3 linked regions of the Daphnia pulex genome follow. The protein of the gene in region 3 purifies or fractionates together with the protein of the main gene of each other region. This does not show direct contact. Links are inferred from orthologs where the notes say so. Each region holds a gene or a part of one and is shown on either strand. Other genes may lie near its edges.

The links. The genes of interacting proteins can lie anywhere in the genome.
Region 1: the proteins of serine/threonine-protein kinase RIO1-like (region 3) and methylosome subunit pICln-like purify together in Homo sapiens (affinity purification with mass spectrometry; 3 studies listed by BioGRID and IntAct, with this or other methods). This does not show direct contact. The link is inferred for Daphnia pulex from reciprocal best matches to the Homo sapiens genes RIOK1 and CLNS1A.
Region 2: the proteins of serine/threonine-protein kinase RIO1-like (region 3) and 116 kDa U5 small nuclear ribonucleoprotein component-like purify together in Homo sapiens (affinity purification with mass spectrometry; 3 studies listed by BioGRID). This does not show direct contact. The link is inferred for Daphnia pulex from reciprocal best matches to the Homo sapiens genes RIOK1 and EFTUD2.

The regions. Positions count from the first base shown.
Region 1 is NC_060018.1:1,923,244-1,928,480, forward strand, and holds methylosome subunit pICln-like, read left to right. Parts: upstream 1-3,279; 5' UTR 3,280-3,466; coding exon 3,467-3,585; intron 3,586-3,667; coding exon 3,668-3,813; intron 3,814-3,917; coding exon 3,918-4,079; intron 4,080-4,141; coding exon 4,142-4,207; intron 4,208-4,289; coding exon 4,290-4,363; 3' UTR 4,364-4,460; downstream 4,461-5,237. Other genes in the region: renin receptor-like, read right to left, coding at 1,842-1,921, 1,986-2,100, 2,172-2,252, 2,315-2,482, 2,544-2,852, 2,988-3,115, 3,174-3,219; sulfotransferase 1E1-like, read left to right, coding at 5,044-5,237. UniProt on the Homo sapiens protein: Involved in both the assembly of spliceosomal snRNPs and the methylation of Sm proteins.
Region 2 is NC_060028.1:8,365,694-8,372,057, reverse strand, and holds the start of 116 kDa U5 small nuclear ribonucleoprotein component-like, read right to left. Parts: upstream 3,078-6,364; 5' UTR 2,858-3,077; coding exon 2,537-2,857; intron 2,469-2,536; coding exon 2,144-2,468; intron 2,072-2,143; coding exon 1,947-2,071; intron 1,876-1,946; coding exon 1,628-1,875; intron 1,565-1,627; coding exon 1,402-1,564; intron 1,331-1,401; coding exon 1,195-1,330; intron 1,123-1,194; coding exon 445-1,122; intron 375-444; coding exon 206-374; intron 137-205; coding exon 1-136. Other genes in the region: inhibin beta chain-like, read left to right, coding at 5,525-6,296. UniProt on the Homo sapiens protein: Required for pre-mRNA splicing as component of the spliceosome, including pre-catalytic, catalytic and post-catalytic spliceosomal complexes. Component of the U5 snRNP and the U4/U6-U5 tri-snRNP complex, a building block of the spliceosome.
Region 3 is NC_060022.1:120,003-128,153, forward strand, and holds serine/threonine-protein kinase RIO1-like, read right to left. Parts: upstream 4,631-8,151; 5' UTR 4,571-4,630; coding exon 4,500-4,570; intron 4,443-4,499; coding exon 4,303-4,442; intron 4,244-4,302; coding exon 3,835-4,243; intron 3,769-3,834; coding exon 3,582-3,768; intron 3,515-3,581; coding exon 3,396-3,514; intron 3,330-3,395; coding exon 3,134-3,329; intron 3,078-3,133; coding exon 2,955-3,077; intron 2,897-2,954; coding exon 2,648-2,896; intron 2,588-2,647; coding exon 2,483-2,587; 3' UTR 2,416-2,482; downstream 1-2,415. Other genes in the region: uncharacterized protein LOC124195509, read left to right, coding at 399-518, 593-834, 910-1,132, 1,206-1,375, 1,449-1,629, 1,715-1,930, 1,996-2,229; coiled-coil domain-containing protein 66-like, read left to right, coding at 5,705-5,759, 5,862-5,976, 6,133-6,580, 6,700-6,790, 6,889-6,961, 7,046-7,154, 8,042-8,151. UniProt on the Homo sapiens protein: Involved in the final steps of cytoplasmic maturation of the 40S ribosomal subunit. Involved in processing of 18S-E pre-rRNA to the mature 18S rRNA. Required for the recycling of NOB1 and PNO1 from the late 40S precursor.

The DNA.
Region 1 (5,237 bases), on a different chromosome or scaffold from region 3:
CCGATGCAATCAGCCGAATCCAAAAACTGGGACGAAAGAAGTAGAAATAAGCACGCGCATACGGAAAATCCATACTAAAGTCTGGGCTACGCTCGAGCTTTATTCAAAGCTTGACAAATTGATATTACATCATTTCGGGAAATTATTGGTAAATTGTTTGTTTTTTGAGTTCATACCTCAAAGCGGGGATGAGTAAGAACACTTCGTCGCGCGCTCAGTTTCCTTTTTATCTTTTTTTCTACTTAGAATTTTCAAGGTTCTTTCCTAAACATTTATTTTATTTTTAAGAAATTTGTTTAAAGCTTTGTTCAAAGAATAATTACTTAAGCCTCCAGAAAAGCTCTAGTTTGGCCTATAGGTTTGATGGCGATCCGTTAAGGTTTTCCCCCGGTAATAGCAAATTGTTCCGAATTAAATTTTCCTAATTCAGGATAATCCACACACGCAGGTGCTACAAAAAACCACCTATAGCCTTCCCGTTTTACCTCCGTTTTAAGTCTCTCACACTGTGATTGTAGCAATTTGCGCCACAAGTGACTTTTCTATAGAAGTCCCAGAGGGTTGATGTCATAAACTTCCCGAGAATATGTTTTTCTCGGCGTCGTTCTGGTTCCAAAGAACCGCAAAATATTGTTTCGCGGGCCGATGACAGTCATGACACTCTGGCTTTCCCATGCTCTTTCCCTCATTACTTTTCTTATTTATGAAAATAACCTTCGCCCAAAGTATTAGTTTCACGATGAAAGCCCAAATTTGTCGTCCGATTCTTTTTCAGCTTCACCTCACTTTGCGTTAGTTAACCCATAAAAAGTTGAATCGGTCGACATAATCGCGTTCTTCTTCGTTAAATTCGTGCAAATTTATATAATTCTCCAAACAGGAAAAAAGGCCACTGACTTTTAGAGCGTAGTGAGACTTTTAGCCCAGAAAAAACACTGGTTCGTGATTTACAGCGCAGAAAATAGGAATTATAAACCTTGGCAAATGTTCAAGTGAAAAAAAAAAACTGGATGTTAAATAGAAAGTATCTTCTTTGTCTACGCGGGCCCTTAGACATGGAAAAGTCATGAAAACTATCAAGTCAACTCGCAACTTGAGCGTAATAATGGTTAATTAAAAAAGAGCCAGTCTTCCGTGATTAAATATTCCGAATATTAAAACAACATTTTCCATTCTTACCAACTAGAGATTCCATGGGGGGGGGGGGGATAGCGTTTCGTTTCTCTGTATTTCTGTGACCGATAACAGTGATTAATGATACCCGAGGCCGATTGTTCATGTTTTTGTTATTTACCCAAGGTACTTGAGTTATTATCAATGTGGAGAAAGACCAGTCGTTTCTATCGATTGTCCATGGTAGATGCTCATGATAAAAGTCTGATACTACTGCGCAAAAGTAGGACATAGCCCAAGGGATTGCAGAAAGCATCCGACGAATACAAAACACGTTGTTTTTTTTAATAACACGCTACAGACCAAAATAAGCTCTCGATGGAAACTCGTTTAGAGATAGTAAGAATCCTTTCTCCAAAACGCCGTGGTGAAAGTGAGAGGAGAGCGATTCGGATGTCGCGTGCCCATAACACAATCAGTTACACAGCAGAGGAGAATGTTAATATTTCCTTACTTGGACGATGACTCGGATCATCGAAAAAGCACTCAACTCGACGGGAAAACAAAACTTCGTTTAAATGTGTAATCACACACAGAACGAACAGTTATGGCTACGACATGAACAAAGAAAAGCTAGAAAATGTACACCAAACAAAGTAACATTTTTTTACACGCTAAATTATTATCAGTGAGGCTCAAGCCAACAAATAAATCGGAATGTGACTTCTCTAATTTTCCTTTTTGATGCGCTGTGTCGTCATCCGATAGATGATGGAGTCACGACCAGGATCGAGTGTGCAAATAAACACTGAAAAATTAAAGGGATAATGTTATGGCAGATTGCAAAAATCGAACTCAGATTAATCAATTACCAGCGGTGGAAATAAGAGCAGCAATCAAGAAAACGGATGTCCATAAAAGGATATTAAAAATGGATGAGTAATCCGATCCATAGCGTTTAGATAAATTCAACTTCCAATACAGTTCCTGAAAGAAGGAGGATAAAGTTATTTTAACCCTCGACTATTATTTGAAAATAAAATTTTAAAAAATCATACGCTATTTGCTTTGGCATTCGAAGTCGTAGACCTCTTTTCTCGAAGGCGAAGTCTTTCAATGGTTATGGCAGTTAGGATAAACTATAAAAAGACAAAAATTGTTACACACAAATTTTTCGAATTCAAATATAACTGTGTCATACTCGATCGCCATAAGTGTTTTCTAGTGCATCTTGAAGCTCGCCGAGAGCAGATTTCAAAATAGTAACTGCTTCCAAAGCTTGCTCAGAGTCTTGACCATAGACACTGATGATATCATCCAAACCATTAAGGCGGATCCAAACAGTCTTGAAGACGGATTTTGCCAATACCTTTTGAAAATAATGTATTGTGTGTAAAAACCTCTCACTATTTTTTAACTAATGAAAATACCTTATGTTTTAAATCCATCAAAACATCAATATCTTTAAGAAACTGCAAGACAGCAACATCCTTTTTGTTGAGCTTTTGAAGTGCCAAAATCTTCTGGGTTTCACCAGAATATAAGTCATTTTCGTCAAATACAACTTGGCCTAGAATAGAAGTGAAATCATCCTTCACTTGATCAAGAGTAGAGGTGATCTCTAGTGGGTATCTGGGTTCACTCAACTGGAGACTTTGCACACCCTCAACAACAACAGCAACTGAAACTTCTGGGTAATTAAATGGATTCAAGACTGTAAGTCCATTCCACGAGTCACCCTGAAAACAGCAAATAATGGTATTGCTTCAAACTGATTTCATCATAGATACATCAAGTTGCAATATCACTCCTTCGTTTGGAACCAAACATATAGTTCCTAATCTACAAAGTTATAAATGAATGAAAGAACTTACAAAAGGTGTTGTGTGCCCCATTGCAGTGGAAATAATTTTTGGCAATTCACTTGTATTCAGCTGTTCATCTCCCCTAAAGTTGACTCCATTAGGGCTGTGCAAGATGCTGAACTCTCCATTTCCCAGGACTGCATTGCAACAAAACACTTCAAAAGCTGTAGTTTTCAATCGCTAGAAAATAATTACCTGAGGTTAATAGACAAAATACGCCGACAATTGATGCCACTTTCATCTTGCCTTCTTGTCTGGTCAACAGCAGCTGCAATTGCCTTTAGAAAAAGTTTGACAGTCTCGAGTCTCGTGACAGCTAAAGTCAGGTGATGTGTTCGTGGTTCATGATTTAGTCCCTAGATGACGTTTTCATTGCAGCCTACAATTTTTTTTTAAAACGTTGTGCTGCTGACAGCGTGATTCGAATCATATTTCATTTTCAAATTGTTGCTCTTCTTCTTTTCTGAATTCGTTAAATTTCTTAAAAAATGGTTGTATTATCTTCATTTCCTCCGCCTACCGAAGGAATCAAATTAGTTCAGCCTAATACTGGAGCTTTCATCAACACCAGAGACTTGGGCCAAGGAACATTATATATTGCAGAAAGGTTAATTTATATTTATATTCTATTTAAGTTTTCGATTACAAGAGTCACGGAAAAATAATTTTACCTATTCCAAACCATTTAGTCGTGTATCATGGGTTAGTGCCACATCTGGCCAGGGATTTTCGCTGGAATACCCCCACATATCGTTACATGCTGTTTCAAAAGATCCTTCTGCATTTCCACAGGAATGCTTGTACTTGATGTTGGATTCAAGGCTTGATGAACCCGGTAATACCCAATTCTATATTTATGTTTAAAATATCATTTGAGAAAATGTTATGTGAGATGTGTTCATGTTTCCAGGTTTGTCTGATTAAAGTTATATTTTTAAGATGAAGCTTTAGATAATCAAGATTCTGAGGATGAGGAATCTGAAACTGATATGTCTGAAGTAAGGTTTATTCCAGAAGATCGGGGACTTCTTGATGCCATGTACCATGCCATGACAATATGTCAAACACTCCATCCTGATCCTAATGATTCAATTTCAGATGGTAATATTTGACAAAAGGCAAAAGTTTTGCAGATTATTGTATTAACTTTTTTTTTTATTTAGAAGGAGATTTTGAAGATACTGAGGAAGGAGAATATTGCCTTGATGGAGCAGAAACAGCTGAAAATGGTAAATCTGATATAATTTCATTTAATTGATATCCGACAAATATTTATTGTTTTTCTCAATGTGCACCTCAATTGTTCGTAAGATCATGATAATGGTGAGGCGGAGAACATGGAGTCAGACATGGGTCAGTTTGAAGATGCCGATCCTGAACATTAACCGCACATATTTCCCTTATTCACGCTTTACTTACTATTGCTTTCTTTGAAATTTTAAATAATAAAACTTCAAAGCATAGGAGATAATTAATGTAAAACAATTTTTGGTGTCACCTCACTGTTCGATTGCCATGAACGCGAGTATTCTCGGTTAGTTAAAAAAAAAGAATGCGCCCGCTCCAATATTATGTGTAGATTTTAAGCGGGAAGCAAAAAAAAACTGTATGTGTGACAAAAAAAACAAGTTTAATAATCTTTAACTTAAAAATATCGCTGCCACAGTAAAGAAAGCATTGGTTTTCTTTAAAAAAAGAACTTCTTAAGGTAACTTGAAATGAAAAAAATGTGACGTGTTTCGACAAAGCGTGCAGAATGTTTAGCATTTTTTCTGAGGTAAAGCTTCGGTTGACGTTAACATTATGTGAACCTTCCACTAGAAAAGACAAGATCGATAACAGTAGTGCTACTCAAGAACGCCTTTTGTGGTCATGGTGGCGCTGTAGCTTGGGTTGTATCAAAGTTCAACGTTCTCAAGCCTCTCGGAAAGTCTCAATATTGATTCAGTCTCGAGTTTAGCGTCTCACGCATAGCACGACAGACTTTCTCCGCTACATCTCCCTCGGTGGTAATTATTCTCGGTACTCTGCGCCAGCGCCCCATTCCCTGACTTATCCCGCGAAAATGGCATTGCATTTTGAGTTTCCCGATGCCGAAACAAAAGCGAAACTTCTTGCAGCGTTTCCTGGTTACAGCGATGGTTTTGTGAGATGTCAACCGGGAAATTTGTTGATGCCATTGTTTTACAAAAAAGATTGGAAAACGTATTACGATTTTCAGCTGCGGGATGATGATGTCTTCATTCTTTCTTTTCCAAA
Region 2 (6,364 bases), on a different chromosome or scaffold from region 3:
CTTATTGACTTCAGACGGCAGTGTGTCGTCAACGAGGATGTTGGGTCCCGTGGAATCGGGGCCAAATGCCCAAATGGATCGGGCAGCCAACAAATCCCAATCGTATTTGCTCTGGAAAAACTCGCTCAATTTTTTCCTGCGTTTTGGAAAATTAGGAAATAATTATTCAACTACTCTCTGAAAAAGAATTCCAAGTCTTTTTTACTTGTTCCAATTGATTTGGACGACCCCATTTTCAATATCTTCGGCCAAACCTTTCTCCAGGGGTTCCGCAATCATTGTGATTTTATTCTTTTTGTTTGGAGTTTCGGCAAAACATTTCAGTGAGGACGTTTCCACGACCGTTTCGCAAAAAGACACCACAGGATCAGCAACTACAAGAAAAACCAAAGTGAATTAGTTAAATTAGAAGAATTAACAGTTGGGAAGAAATGAATGGCAAACCTTTAATGTCGATTTCCGAGTACATTTTCCTGAGATCGTGCATGACACAGTCCAGGTAAAGTTCGCCTGTTCCAAGAATAACGTGCTCGCCCGACTCCTCCACTCGCGTCGAGAGCAACGGGTAAGATTTGTTAACCTTACGCAGACCGTCCAACATCTTGGGCAATTCGCTGGGATTCACCGGCTCAACGGCAATTTTGATGATGGATTGCGTGTTGAATTTCAAGGGTCGGCAAATGTACAAGTCCTCGTCGACGTGAACCTGGACGATGGTCGACGTCTTGACCACTGAGGCATCGATCCCTTCGATCAAGACCCAACTGCCTGCCGTTACTCTATTGACTTCGATCTTGTAACGGGCCTCGTATATCCAAAGTCGACCGATCGTCAACACACGTGAATCTTCTTCGTCATTGAGCGAATAGTTTTCACCCAGGAGTCGGACGTTCTGGTGAGCGTGAAGGGTCCCACTCAGGACACGACCCAGGACATAGAATCCAGTGCAGTCCTCTGTGGGATACTGTTTGGTAGTATGGACAACCAGTTGGCCGTTGGGATCACAGTTGACCATGTCTTCGCCCAGGATGGACTCCAGGGGACCTGTGTAAATGTGTTCCACTTTGGTGCGAGCAGCCGTTACGGGCGACGGGACGTGTTTGACGCACATTTCCACGAAACCTACACACACCAGTCAAACATTGACATTTAAAGACCGTTGCTTCAATTCAACATACATTTTAATTGACATACCGCTGAAAGTGCCCAGGTAGCGACTGCAGACCAGTCTCAACAAGGGGCGAGTGTTTAACCGCTGTTCCTCGACAGTCAGGCGAATGCCAAGTTCGTCCAGCAACTGCGGTAGACTCGAATCCAAATCTCCCACAACCTAAACAAGCAAAAAATATTGGAAATGAATCAACTGTTCAAATTAACTGCAAAGTTGTCCTTGGTACATGCCTGGGCAAAGATTTTGTACAACGGCTCTAAAATGAACTCGATGAAACTTCGCTGAGCCGAGCTATGTGGCGGCTTTTTGGTGAACTTTCTCGTCTTGCTGTTGAAGTAAATGTCACCCCACAGACGACGTGCTAACTCGTTGTCGTTGATATCGGATCCGTATCTAAAATGAAAGAAAATGAAGTTTCATTTAAGACCGTCATTGCCATTGTGGACGTGTGCGTACGTGTCACTGTAAAGTTTGGCGAAGGATTTAAGGGTGAAGCAAACGGAGAACTGGGCAGAAGCAAAGCAGACGTTGCCCAACAAGGGCGACACGAATTTTGGATTCTCTTCGTCGCTGTACAGGCCCAAAAGACCGTTGATCTCTTCAATGATGTAGCGCAACTTGTAATATGCGTCCTGAGGTGGCAGCTTGAGCTCCAAAATGAGTCGATCGATTTTGTTGATGCAAACTGTGATGGCCATTTTCTCCTATGAAAGGACAGGGTTAAAAAGAAATTCTTGGAATAACCAAGTTGAAGTTTTTTTTTTTTTTTAATTACCTGGACGGCGTGCTTCAAGATTCGTTCCGTGTTGAGCATGACACCCTCGACAGCGTCGACAAAGAGGACGATACCATCGCAAAGTCTCAGGGCAGCCGTGACTTCATCTGAGAAGTTGACGTGACCTTTAAGAAACATCAAAATCGATTAAATACATTTTTCCCCCCCATTTTGCAAGTTGGAAAACTGTAATTTACCAGGTGTGTCGAACATGTTGAGGAGGAAGGATTTTTCGTTCAGGTCGGGCATGACCACGGTAATGGGCGTCGCTTTGATGGAAACACCTCTCTCTTGTTCAGTAAAGAGTGTGTCTGTGTATCTGACAGGCTTCTCCTCTCCACTGCCAGGTTTTCCCGTCTGGAGATCTGGGTGTGTTTGCATGAGCAGACAATCCATGAAGGAAGTCTTGCCATGGTGCAAATGACCAACAAGGGCCACTGAACGAATAAGTTCTGCAGAGTCCATGAGATCAGCCAAAAACTCCATGTTATACGTGGTTTCAGGGAGTTCTTGCTCAGCAACCTAATGAAAATGGGTGGAAACAGGTTAATCAACAAAATGAAATATGGCAGCGAAACAATTTGTGGTACCTGAAACTTCCTTCGTTTGACAGGTGCGATGATGGGTTCAGTCAAGGGCTGAGCATCTTCTTCCTGCACCAGTGTCTCCACACCAGGTCCGTAAACCTCCAACGCTGATGGATAGTATTTTTTGTCTTCATGCAAAACAATGGCCATCTGTGCGTCGCCATCAACCACCGTTTGATCCATGGCCTCTTCGGAATCATTGTCACCATAGTCTTCGGCTTCGTCATCGTGATCAGCCTCGTCTCCTTCCTCATTTTCGTCTTCATCTGACTCGAGTTCGGGTCCAATGTAATTGCCGAATTCGTCGTAGAGATCGGCGTCCATTCTTGACAGTCAACTGAGTCGTTTGCTGTCTGTAAATTGGGCAGATACTTTGGATGTTGTCGATCGGTATTCGGCTTAACCCAACACTCACAGTTATAAAGCTGTTTCAAAAGGGAATTTCAGAAAAGCCGGGCCTTTCAAGAAAATGCGTTTACTATGCGTACAGATTTGCACGCGCTCAAAACGAGCGACACTAGCGACATCTAGCGGGTGCCAATGAAATCTGAATTTAAGAACAGCGCCATCTACCAGCTAGCAGGTGGATTATGAGTGGCAAAAAAAATGAAAATAAAATAAAATGAATAAAATAAATAAAAATAAAAATAAATAAATAAAAATAAAATAAAAGAGAAAAAAAAAATTCACAGCGTAATAAAATGCAAATGGGAATCCCGTTGAGGGCGGGGTTTTCCCTACCCGAATAAGGAAATGTTTCTGGCGCTGTTTTTTTGCTTGTGCACTGGAAACTGAAATCTAGTTGTGAATTTATATAGATGACGTGTCAGTCGCTATCAGGTCGGGTCCACGACGGAAAAAAACATTTTGTAGGAGAAACAAAGTCAGTCGAACACGGGCGATAATATCAATCAAAGCGGGCGAAATAAGGAGTAAAATGCCGTCATGTTTTTGAATTGAATAACGGAATAAATCTCAGCAGTCGTCTGATGTCTACGCACACAGTGCAGAATTTCAGTTTTGCCGGGCGATGGAAGCCCCCTGGATGGGCAAGTGCCCTTATATGATTTATTGCTGCCGACTCGTATGGAAAGATATATTAGACGTCTTTATCTGCAGACGAGTCTACAGACGAGCGACCCCGATTTATATATTCGCTTGTTGGTTTGTTGTTGCCAAAAGGAAATCACAAAAAAAAAACCCAAAAAATACTTGGGATGATATGGGCAGATCGACAAAATCAATGCCGGCCATTCGGTGATGTAGACCAGCCCAGCCCAGCCCAACTAGAGTTCTCCTTCTGTCCATGGGTTCTCGGTTGATGGTTCTTTTTTTTTTTTTTATTCGGGATATAATCACCGTTATCGGCGATGCTTCGAGTTGCTTGTTCTGTTTTTGTTGTTTGCAGCAATGTCATCCATTGTGTAGGCGGATAGAATGTACCCGGTTGAATGTCGCTGCACACATTTAGACTTGGCCAACAGCAGCAATCGACTTCCTCCTCCTTATTCCTCGTGCGTGAATTTTCCGTGGGGGTGTCCAATCAATAGCCCGACAGACTCTGACTGAGATTTTTTTTTTTTTTGGTTTGTTTTGTTTTTCTCTTTTTAAATTTCTATCCATCATCTTTTTTGTGTCTGCGGGGGGGTCACTATACTGTCCGGTGTGCATTGCCACGGCGGTGTAGTCTGTCGGGAGTCAAGGCTTAATGGATCGCAATGATTATTGGACGGCATTCATTACTACACAATACCCTTCGACATGGATGAAGCGATTGTAGTTCACTGGACTCCTGGACACATTAGACTTACGAAATGATTGATTGTTAATCAAGTCTCGTGGTGATGACGGAATGTTATTAGACCTCGACATTGGTCGAGCCAACAATCTCCACCCCAATTATAAAATTCGGCAACTCAGACATCGGTCGGGATTCATTTTGGCTAGACGCGAAAAAAAGACAAAAAGAAAACGTTTAGACATTGGCCGATTGGTGATGGAACAAACAACAACAACAACAGCGTCAAGACACAATAAAAAAAAAACGTCGAAGAATAAGGATAGTCGAAAAGATCCAAGATTGAGATTATTTCGGAATCAAAAGAAGAAAGAATAAAAAGAGAAAAAGAAACTAGCTGACTGGGCTGGGCTCCTGGGCTGGGCGAGGTTGTTTTTTTCTTCTTTCCTTCCTTCTCTCTTGTATAGTAGTATCACCATGTATATTTTCCTTTTGGCTTTTCTATTTTCCTTATAGGCGACGGCCACAATATATCGCCGCAGAATAGTCTAGCTGGTGTGTGTAGTAGATACACAGACAGAGATATAAACATGCATGTAGTCTCTCTCTCTCTTTCCCCCCCCCTCTCCGTCTCTTCTATTTTTCTTAAAGAATTCGTGTGTTGTTGTTGTAGTTGTTTGTAACGGGGTTGCCTGCGCACGAGTCTATGCTGCTGCTGGAAAGGAAACCGAAAAGAAGGAGGAAGAAGAAGGAGGAGAGAGGAGGGAGAGAGAGAGTCTACCAGCCAGGAGCCAGGAGCTACACGCAGCAGCAGCAGCAGTGGTGGTGGTGGCCTTCGCCAGAGAGACAGTCGACTGTCTCGACTCGACTTGCCGAGTTATTAGCCGACAGCAGCAGCAGCAGTCGACTACCCGCCGTCCATCCGTCCGTCCGCACACCAGCACAGCAGCACATCGTCAGCAGCAGCAGAAGCGGAAAATGGAGTGCAATAAGTGAAGATCGTGACAAGTGTTGACGATCGGCCGACAGTGTTTGAAAAGACGTTTTCTTTTATAGGATTTGGAGTGGTCGGTTCGGATGTCGGTTCTTCGCTTCTCATCGATCCATCAGCAACATCGTCGACCGCTTTTGCCCGTCGTCTCGGAAGAAGATAGAGCAGCAGAAGCAGACGACGGCCACAGTTCAGAGAAGAAGCCGGCCGGCCGGCTCGTCACATTTCACATCCCTGCAGCTGCTGCCGGCTGCTTTCGGAAATGACCATCATGTTTGTGGTAGTGCAGTGGTTCAGTGGCTGCTGCTGTGGCTGGCCGTCGTTGTCGTCAGCCTACAGCAGCAGCAGCAGCAGGAGGACAAGGGCCAGCAGCAACAGTTTGATCATCCTGGCCGCTCTTCTCATGATCCTGTGCAGTTCCCAGTTGATTGCCGTGTCCGAGGTGCGTTTCAGTGACCCCGCCAACGTCCATCTCCAGGTCCAACATCTACAGGTCCAGCAGCCGCAACACTTTGTCGCCAGCAACTCGTCGTCGGCGTCCATCGGCGACGTGGCCGCCACCCGTCCGCACCGGAGGAGTCGCCGGCATTGCCCGTCGTGTCGTCTGCCGTTGACGCCCATCCACGTCCATCGGCAGACGGAAGGCGAAGAAGAGGAAGGAGAGGAGGAGGACGGACAAAAGTCGTCGCTGGACGTGGTTGTGGCTCAGCAACAACATCAAACGACGATCGGCGAATCGGCCCGTCTCGAGTCCATCAAACGTCAAATCCTCATCAAACTGGGACTCAACGCCAAACCGAATTTGCTCTCGTCCGTTATTCCGCCCAGGGATTTCATCCTGGAAACGTTGCTGAGGGCGGAAGAGTCTTCTTCCTCGTCCCGTCCCCATCAGTCCCAGTCCCAGTCGCCTCAGGGTAAACAGGCCCAGCCGCATCATCCGCATCACTCGCAGGCCGACGGGAGCGTGGACAACGTCATCGTGGACGACGATTTCTACGGCAAGACATCGGAGATTATCGCATTCGGCGAGCCAGGTAATCTATAACTCAATTAGGATCCATAACGGGTCCCGGCTGTCCAGGTCCCGGTCCCGGTAAAGTGG
Region 3 (8,151 bases):
TTAATATGATAATATGAAATTCAATTCAATGCTGTTGACGTGCGTCGTGCGTGTTGGTTTTATTGCACCATTTATTGCAGTACTACTGGCTATTACTAAATTTATAGTTTGTTAGTTGTTATTTTAAAGTATGTTAGATTGATTGATTTGCACAAATTTAAAATTTAAGAAGTAAAAAAAAATTAAAAAAAAATTACCATAATAAAACTTCAATGGGGCAACCGGCAACGTTGTTTGTTTTGATTTACAGACTCTGAACTTCGAGAAAGGTTGCCGTTGCCCGTTGTGTGACTTCTTAGTTCTTACTTGGTTTAATATACTGTGTTGTTATCTTTCCATGAAACATTCGATTGTTATCAATCCTTAACGGGAAAGTCATATATTTTTTAATGTAGTGAATGATCGAAATGGCTTCAAACGTCGATACATCATTTTGCAATCGAGCACCAGTTTGTTTAGGTAGAACTGCCACTGTCAGTAACAGCCCAGAAAATTGTGAAATTGTTGAGGTATCGGAGGTAGTATTCTTTTACAGTAATATTTTCTACCACCAATTTCTGGAAATTTGAACTTCTCTTCATGTTTTCATGAGATTCGTGATTTATTGGAATACAACCCACCACAACCTTTTAGTACATCTGCAGTTTTGAACTACTGCCAGCGCAAGATGATTCTACCATACACTAGGCTTTTGGGACTACTTGGTCTAAGACCTCTGTTAGGAGACTTCAATGACCAAACGCTTGCTCTGAGTGCAATTAACAAAATCCATCTATTCTTGGTGACATGCTTCCTCATCTTTGGTTATGTAATGCAACTCTTAACATGCTACAGGTGTCATATTGCTACTACTATTTATTCTTTCTATTCCCAAGGTTAATCTGAAATTAAATATTAATTTTTGTTTAGAAGGGACAAAGGTTTTTCATACATTAAAATTCCTGGTGTTGATCATGTTAGTCAAAATGTCAGACATTTGACCAAGTCACTTGACACACCTGAAGTTGTGTGTGATGGAAGTCTTTTCCTTTGCTACATTTTACCTCCATTGTTACATCTCGGCGCATTTATCCAAACAATTTATTTATTGCGAATAACAGATAATGAACATCTACAAACACTCTTTGAGAAGGTTAGTGAGGTGGACTTGGTAATTTGAGTACTGCATTTCTTATTTTAACTTTAGGTTTCCTGTGAGTTTGCAGGTCTTTTTACTGACTTCGAGATCAAGAGGAGCAACGACACAACGAGTTCTTCTTCGAAGACTTCGTACACATGTTATACTCTCAGTGGTTTGGTTACTTTGGTCACTCATCGCTCAAATTTTTCTTGTCTGCACCAGTCCAATAAAGACAGTTTGGTTCCTTCCTCAAATGCAAGTTATTTTCTATTGTCGATTAGTCGGTCAATATTTAAACTTTTTTTTTGTTTACTTTCTATTATTACAGGAGTAACCCCGTCCGCAATTCATTGATGGGGGTAATGATTGCCTCCACTTTATGCCAAGACGTTGTTCACTGCTTAGTTGTTAGCAACTATTGCATAGAATGCCAATTATTGATGTCGTACGTTAGTTCTATTAGCGAACGCGTAGTTGAGAAATCCATGTCGTTGGAAATCGCCATGAAAGTAAGAAACAGCTCATTAGTTTCCCATGTAGAAAATTGCGCTAATAGATAACAAACAATAGAATTGAATTTTATCGATTCAACAGGAAATGTTGGAATTTGAAAAGTTCCTGCTGTACTTGAACGAAAATGTTTCTCCAGCCATCGGTTTACTCCTGCTACTCTCCACGACCCGTACAATTGTGACGACAATGACCGTCATTCATCCTGGATTTCTGTACTATACAATCGATGCGCACTCTTTTATTGTGATAATGTTGTTGGTTCAGTGGGCTACTGTTTCCATAGCTCCACTGGTTTCTGTAAGATCTCTTAACATCCAAAAGAACAACAGGAAAAGTAATTCGAATTTGTTTCCTTACCACAGGCTGCGTATGTTACTGCTGCAAGTCGAAACGTGCGCTCTGTAGGAATGAGGATACGTGTTCGTCCGTTCGGCTTTCAAGATGTTCCGGCTCAAAAATTGGATTCGTTCATGACATTCATTGCATGTCACAAAGGAACGGCTAAATTGTGCTTCGTTCCAATTAGTGCTGCATCACTCGGAGCAGTTGTTGCTATTGCTGCTTTAATTTTTCTTATCAGTGCTAACGTATCGTAATGTTATTATGGAATCATGTACGGGTTGAATGCCAAAGTCAACGTTTATCTCTCATATCTGTTGTGATCTATAACTCTTTCTCAGGTAATCTCAGAGTTTCTATCATATGTTTAATCTCGGTCGGGGAATTCAATACACATTTAAGATTCGTGATTTTATAAGGAATTAAAAAATAAAACCTTCTGGTTTGGTAAATTTCCCATATTATTTGAGTCGAAAAAATACATCAGCAAACACTTATCAAAAAAGGTAATTACTTTTTGGTGTTGGCGAGTTTTTCCTTTCTTTTCTTGACGTGTTTCTTTACTTTCTGCTTCCGTTTTTCTGATTGCTCAGCCTTGATGGCCTTTTTCCTCTCCTATTCCAAACGAATTTCAAGGTAAAGTTAGACGTTAAAAAACCTAGCAGCAAAATTTACCTTTCGACTGTTGGGGGATTCGTCGCGAGGTCGTGCACTGCTCACAAATTGTTTCTTTTCACCATCTTCTGAATCAGACTCACCAGATGCCTCATCGCTGCTAGTTCCGTCCACAATAGAATTATCCAAAATGTCTGGAACTTGCTTTGGGCCTGACAAGTCTGGTTTAATTCCAGTTACATTCGCGTAGTTCAATTCAATTTTCTCTCCCGCTTTAATTTGTCTAATGTCTCGTTCAAAGAACATGACCTGACGGAATATTGAGGTTAGTGAAAAAGAAAGAAAATGAACCAGGGCGCGCACTCACTTCATCTAATCTTTGAGGAATATATGTCTGTTTAAAGACTTCTGCTTTCACCAAATCTTCCGCTGTAGACTCTCCTTGAATATTTCTTTCGGAAGAAACTGTTGCCATTCTATCCAAGTAGTCCTGGAATTCAAAATGTGTCACTAAAAATACAAGTGTGTTTTCCAAATTGTAAATACCTCAATATTGGTTTCATTGATAGTCAAATCAACAACAAAATCAAAAAGTTCTTTAACTGTCATGACGCAAACTCCGTTTCTTTTGAAGAAGTCGGTAATATTAGTGCAATCCTTACGAAGAAATTCAAGAGCATGCGGATGGTCATGTTCTACTGATTGAGACACATCGATTACGATCAATGATCCTTCATGATACCTAGGATTGGTAATTAAGATAATAAATAGCGTGGGTCTATAATAATCACACAAGTTTAAAATTTACAGCATGTTGAATTCGCTGAGATCAGCGTGAACGAGTCTGCAGTCGTGAAACATTCGCCGCATCAAAATGATTGTGTCTCGATATAACTCACGGGCTTTCGATTCACTCAGCTCAACTTCCTTGTAGTATAAAAGCATCAAATTAAATCTCGACACCCGTGTAATCTATCGGATATTTTCAGTATACCTTTAGTCGGGGGGCAGGCCAACCAGCATCACCAATGAAAGTCATCAACAACACATGACTTCTCAGCAAAATTGGTTTGGGACATGGTAAACCAGCTGCTTCAAGTCTCAATAAATTTCTCAATTCTTTTTCAGCCCAAGTTCGAACCATTTTACGGGGATTGTGCTTACAATAACCATGTCGAAATCTGCAATAAAAAAAACTAGTGAGCCACAAACATAAACAAAATAAGATTGTAAGGTGTCAAGGTTACCTGAACTCGCCTGTGACGTATTTGTCTCTGTCTTTGAATACAAGAATGGATGTTTTATAAATTTTGAGGGCCAAATGTGTGTCATCTTTTCCTGTTGCATGATATACATTGGCTTCTTTTCCAGTGGAGATACAACCATTGATTTGAGTGATAAATCCTCTGTTCATTAATTTAAACAGAATCATTCTTGTCCGGGGATCCATAACTTGCTCAGCAGTAGCTCTGTCTGCCTTGTCTCTGAGACGCACCTTGTCATCACCTGGCAACGAAGGCATTTTGAACTCGTCCACATTAATCTTTTGGGAATATTTCTTGAATAGCTTTTCTCTTGGCTGGAAAGAAACCACTTTATTGGAACTAGTCTGTTGGTTGGGTTGGGCTCCCTGTACTTTTATTTGAGGCCCCTGATCTGCAGTAAATGTTGTCAGTTAACGAATTGAAAGTAAGCTTTGAACATTATGTTGTTACCATATTGCCAATCGTAACAATCGTCATCGCTCATTTCAGAATCGTCTGAATAATAGACTTCGTTATTTTCATCGACGGGCGGCACTTCGTCATTGGTCTCAAGATTAAGTTGTCGAATACCTTCAGCAACGTTCGAGTCTCTGATAAAAGCACTAAATTACATTAAAATAACTTGATAATATGAAAAATTGCATTACTTTTCATCTTCAACGTCGCTAAATTGTCCTTCAACAGGAGAAGAATCAGAAAAATCCACGTGGACTGCCATGGTTAAATAAAATTTGTTTTCTCATGTGTCATAAAAATTCGTCTGCCACATCGTGTGCAACATTGCCAACAATTGCATATATACTTCTTTTCGCAACGGCAAAATTAGAAAAAGAAGAGAAAATCTGCAAATGCTTGCTGCTTAATTTGTATCAGGTTGTTAACTGTAATTTAAAATTTGTTTTTTCTTTAATATAATACACCTGGATTTAAAAAAAAAACAAAACAAATCTTTTTTCATTTGTTCGACGCCTTAAAAAAAGGAGAAAATTAATTAGTAATTCTTTTAGTACAATGGATGTATGATTGTATATCATTTGTAGAATTAGACAGGAAGGATTACGTTTCCACGTAACTCTTTGAATAAAAAGTCTACAGGCGCCTACACTTGATTGATATTCTTTCCGTGACCGACTAAACGCACTCCTTGAGTGATATGATTTAAAAGTAGGTGAAAGCAAAGCGAAAATGAACGATGTAGCATGCCTGCTGGTTAATATTCGGTAGACACGACATTTAAAATAAATAAGAAATAGTGTTGACGTGTTGTACCCTTTACGAATTGTTGGCTAGCTATAAATAAACTGAAGGTTGACCACCGCTGCGCTTGAATGATTACCTAGCTGCCTGCCTGCCTATTTTTAAAAACAATGGCGAACGTATAGACCCCGGAAACCTATTGTGTTACATATACACTTGCACTATAGAATAAAAGAAAGAAAAGAAAAATCAATTTTACGACCCCCTACGTGTAGTGTAAGAGCGCAACTAAAAGAATATGGCGCGTGTGAATCTGAATTGTGCACCCAATATCCGTGTGTGTGTTGTGCGTTTGATGGTGGAAATATCGCGCTGGGTAATACGCATTCGTCAACAACAGCTGAGGTCGCTGGTCGCTCAGTTACGCAAAGAGAGCGTCGCCTTTCCATCAAAACTAAGAGAGAGAACAGGTAGGGAGTTACCTTGGTGACGGCGTGGGAGTCGTACGTGTTTTATCGATTGCCACTCTTTCAACCCTCATCTGGCGTGGATTTCCGGCATACATGACAGTTCGGTTCGGTCCGTCGTGCTGTAGTTATTGCACAGCCATTTCTCTCCCTTGGTGTGACAACTCTCCATCAGACATCCACCAGGTATGGAAAAACCTTCGCTGATGGAACTCAAGCGTCAACAATGGGCCCGCGAAAGAGGTAAGTCATCCATCACATTTTAAATTTGGTTTAAATTAGTTGGTCAATTGGGCAAACGAAGAGAGTATATACAATCAAATCATCGCGTCTATTATATAACAGAGGAGGCCAAAATCGACTGGTGTCCATGGGGACGTCCGGGTTGCGGCGCACCGTTGAAATGGAACCGGAGCTCGGCCCGAAGCGATTCACGCTTGACTCCTGTCGACAATAAAAAGTAAGCCCACAGCACCACAAGCCCAATGATCCGCGAATTATGTCGAAAAAATCAAATATGTGGACGGATGACGGTCATCTAGCCGTCATTTTCGTTTCCGTTATTGTTTTAGCGCTGCGTAAATAACATGGCGATATTGTTTCCTGGATATATCAGAAACGACAACTACCTGCCTCCACTCAACTGGACGACTGGATCACATCAACACGAACAAGTTCAGCAAGCGCCGCCCGCCACCGCACCGCCTCCGCCGCCGCCTCCGCCTCGGCGATCAAAGCGTCACGCCATCAGCCACACGGTGACGGACGGTGAAACTTCCGGCTATCAGAGTGACAATCACTTCATCGATCCATCGGCTCCTAATTACCATCTGCGCCACCGCCGTCAATTGTCGTCGTCCAGGGGACCCAGCGTCGAGCCCATGCCGGACACCTCAAATTCTTCCAACGTCATCATCCACCATCACCACTCGACTAATCAAGAGCAAATCAATTCCAACCGTCACGACGAGGCCAATGAAATTTCGGCCAGGGCCGATTATAAGTTTCTCGAGCGCAAAAAGTGGGTCCAAGATGGAACTGTCCCCTACGACCTTTACCCAGAGGTAATGGGCTCTTTTTTATTACGTATACAAATTATCGATTAAATAAAGCATGGCTGCCTTCATGTGTTTGATTGGGGCAAGATCAAATGATTGAATTGATTATTGGTTGGCATCTCTAGTGTCTTCCACAGCTTTACGATAGGTCGACTCCACCTCGATGGGTGGCCCGTCCGACCAACGCTTTTGTTCAGACCGAGCCTCTTATGTCAGGTGGGTACTATTAGATCACGTCTACACACATTCCTTTTGTTTGCCAATGGGCCACTGATTAGCATCTTTCGTGTCGTCTGCCGGCGATCCATCAGCAGACCGGACCTTGGGCGACAGTTCCAGTATCAGCCGTCATCAGGCTGTCGTCCAGCACTGCGCAACCAATGCGGCGTGAGTGTGATTGTGTCCATAGAGAATAAGCGGAAAAGTTGAGATCCCAATTGATTTATCGCCCATATTTTGGTTGTAATGCAGTCCCAGCTTTCTGCGTGGCCAGAATGTCGTGGTGGATGTCGCCGAGTTGGCCGAGAGGGAAAGGAAACGGGCCAAAGCCAATGAACTGCAGCGGGTGCTCCTTCAGCAGGTAAAAATGACACATTGATTTCTATATAACAGTCTCTAGCTCTCCATAAAAGGCGCATAAAGGCCAACAGCATATGCGATGCAGACGAGAAACCGTTTACTAACGTGAATTATAATATTCCCGACTGGGTTGGATCGATATAATAATAGAAAAAGATAAAACAATAGAAACATTCCAAAAAAATATGCCTGCTGTCGTTGCCATCACGCGGCTGGAATTGTGTAGCCTAATATATAGATTTGGATGGCAAAAGTAGACAGCCGGAAAATACAAAATAAGAAATGAAGACGAAAAAAAGAAGACATAATAATGGTTCTAATATTTCAATAGCGAATGTTGAAGTCAAGTTGCCAGGGTAACGGGCGTCGTGACTTTTGGCGCCGTATGCCGAATATGCGACAGCACGTCCTGTCACCAACTTAAATAGACGTATAGTATAGTGCAGTATAAGGCCTCATGCAGCTGGCAGAACAGCCCAACTTAAACGACGGATAAAATCATGGCTATGTAAACCTTCCGGCGACACGCGATCCTGCGGAATATGATGATCCATATCTAATATATCCGCAGGCAGACATGCGAGACAAAATGCTCTTATAGAAATCATCTATTTTGTTGCATTTCACTTAATCATTTGTTAGATCTATGTGCCCTCTGTTCACAAACAAAAAGAAAGTAGGAAATTATTACGAATTTCCTACTCGCATGTTGTTCGATTTGGACATGGGTATATATAAAGTCAGAGGGTAAATTCCGGCTGTGTGGAATATGGCATGTGCATTTCGGATGGCAGTTGAGAGCGACCGATGGAGCCGTTCAGACAGCAGCCGAGAGAGTCGGGATGCGTCTGCATGAATTTCCGCCAATTGAAATTGTTTCTTGTCCAGTTGGCAGAGAAGGAGAACCAAAAGCTCCTGGAGAAAAAGAGACAACAGGAAGAAGAGGAGAGACAGGAGCTGGAGCTGCAAAGGCATTTGGAAGCCGAGCGACGTCAAAT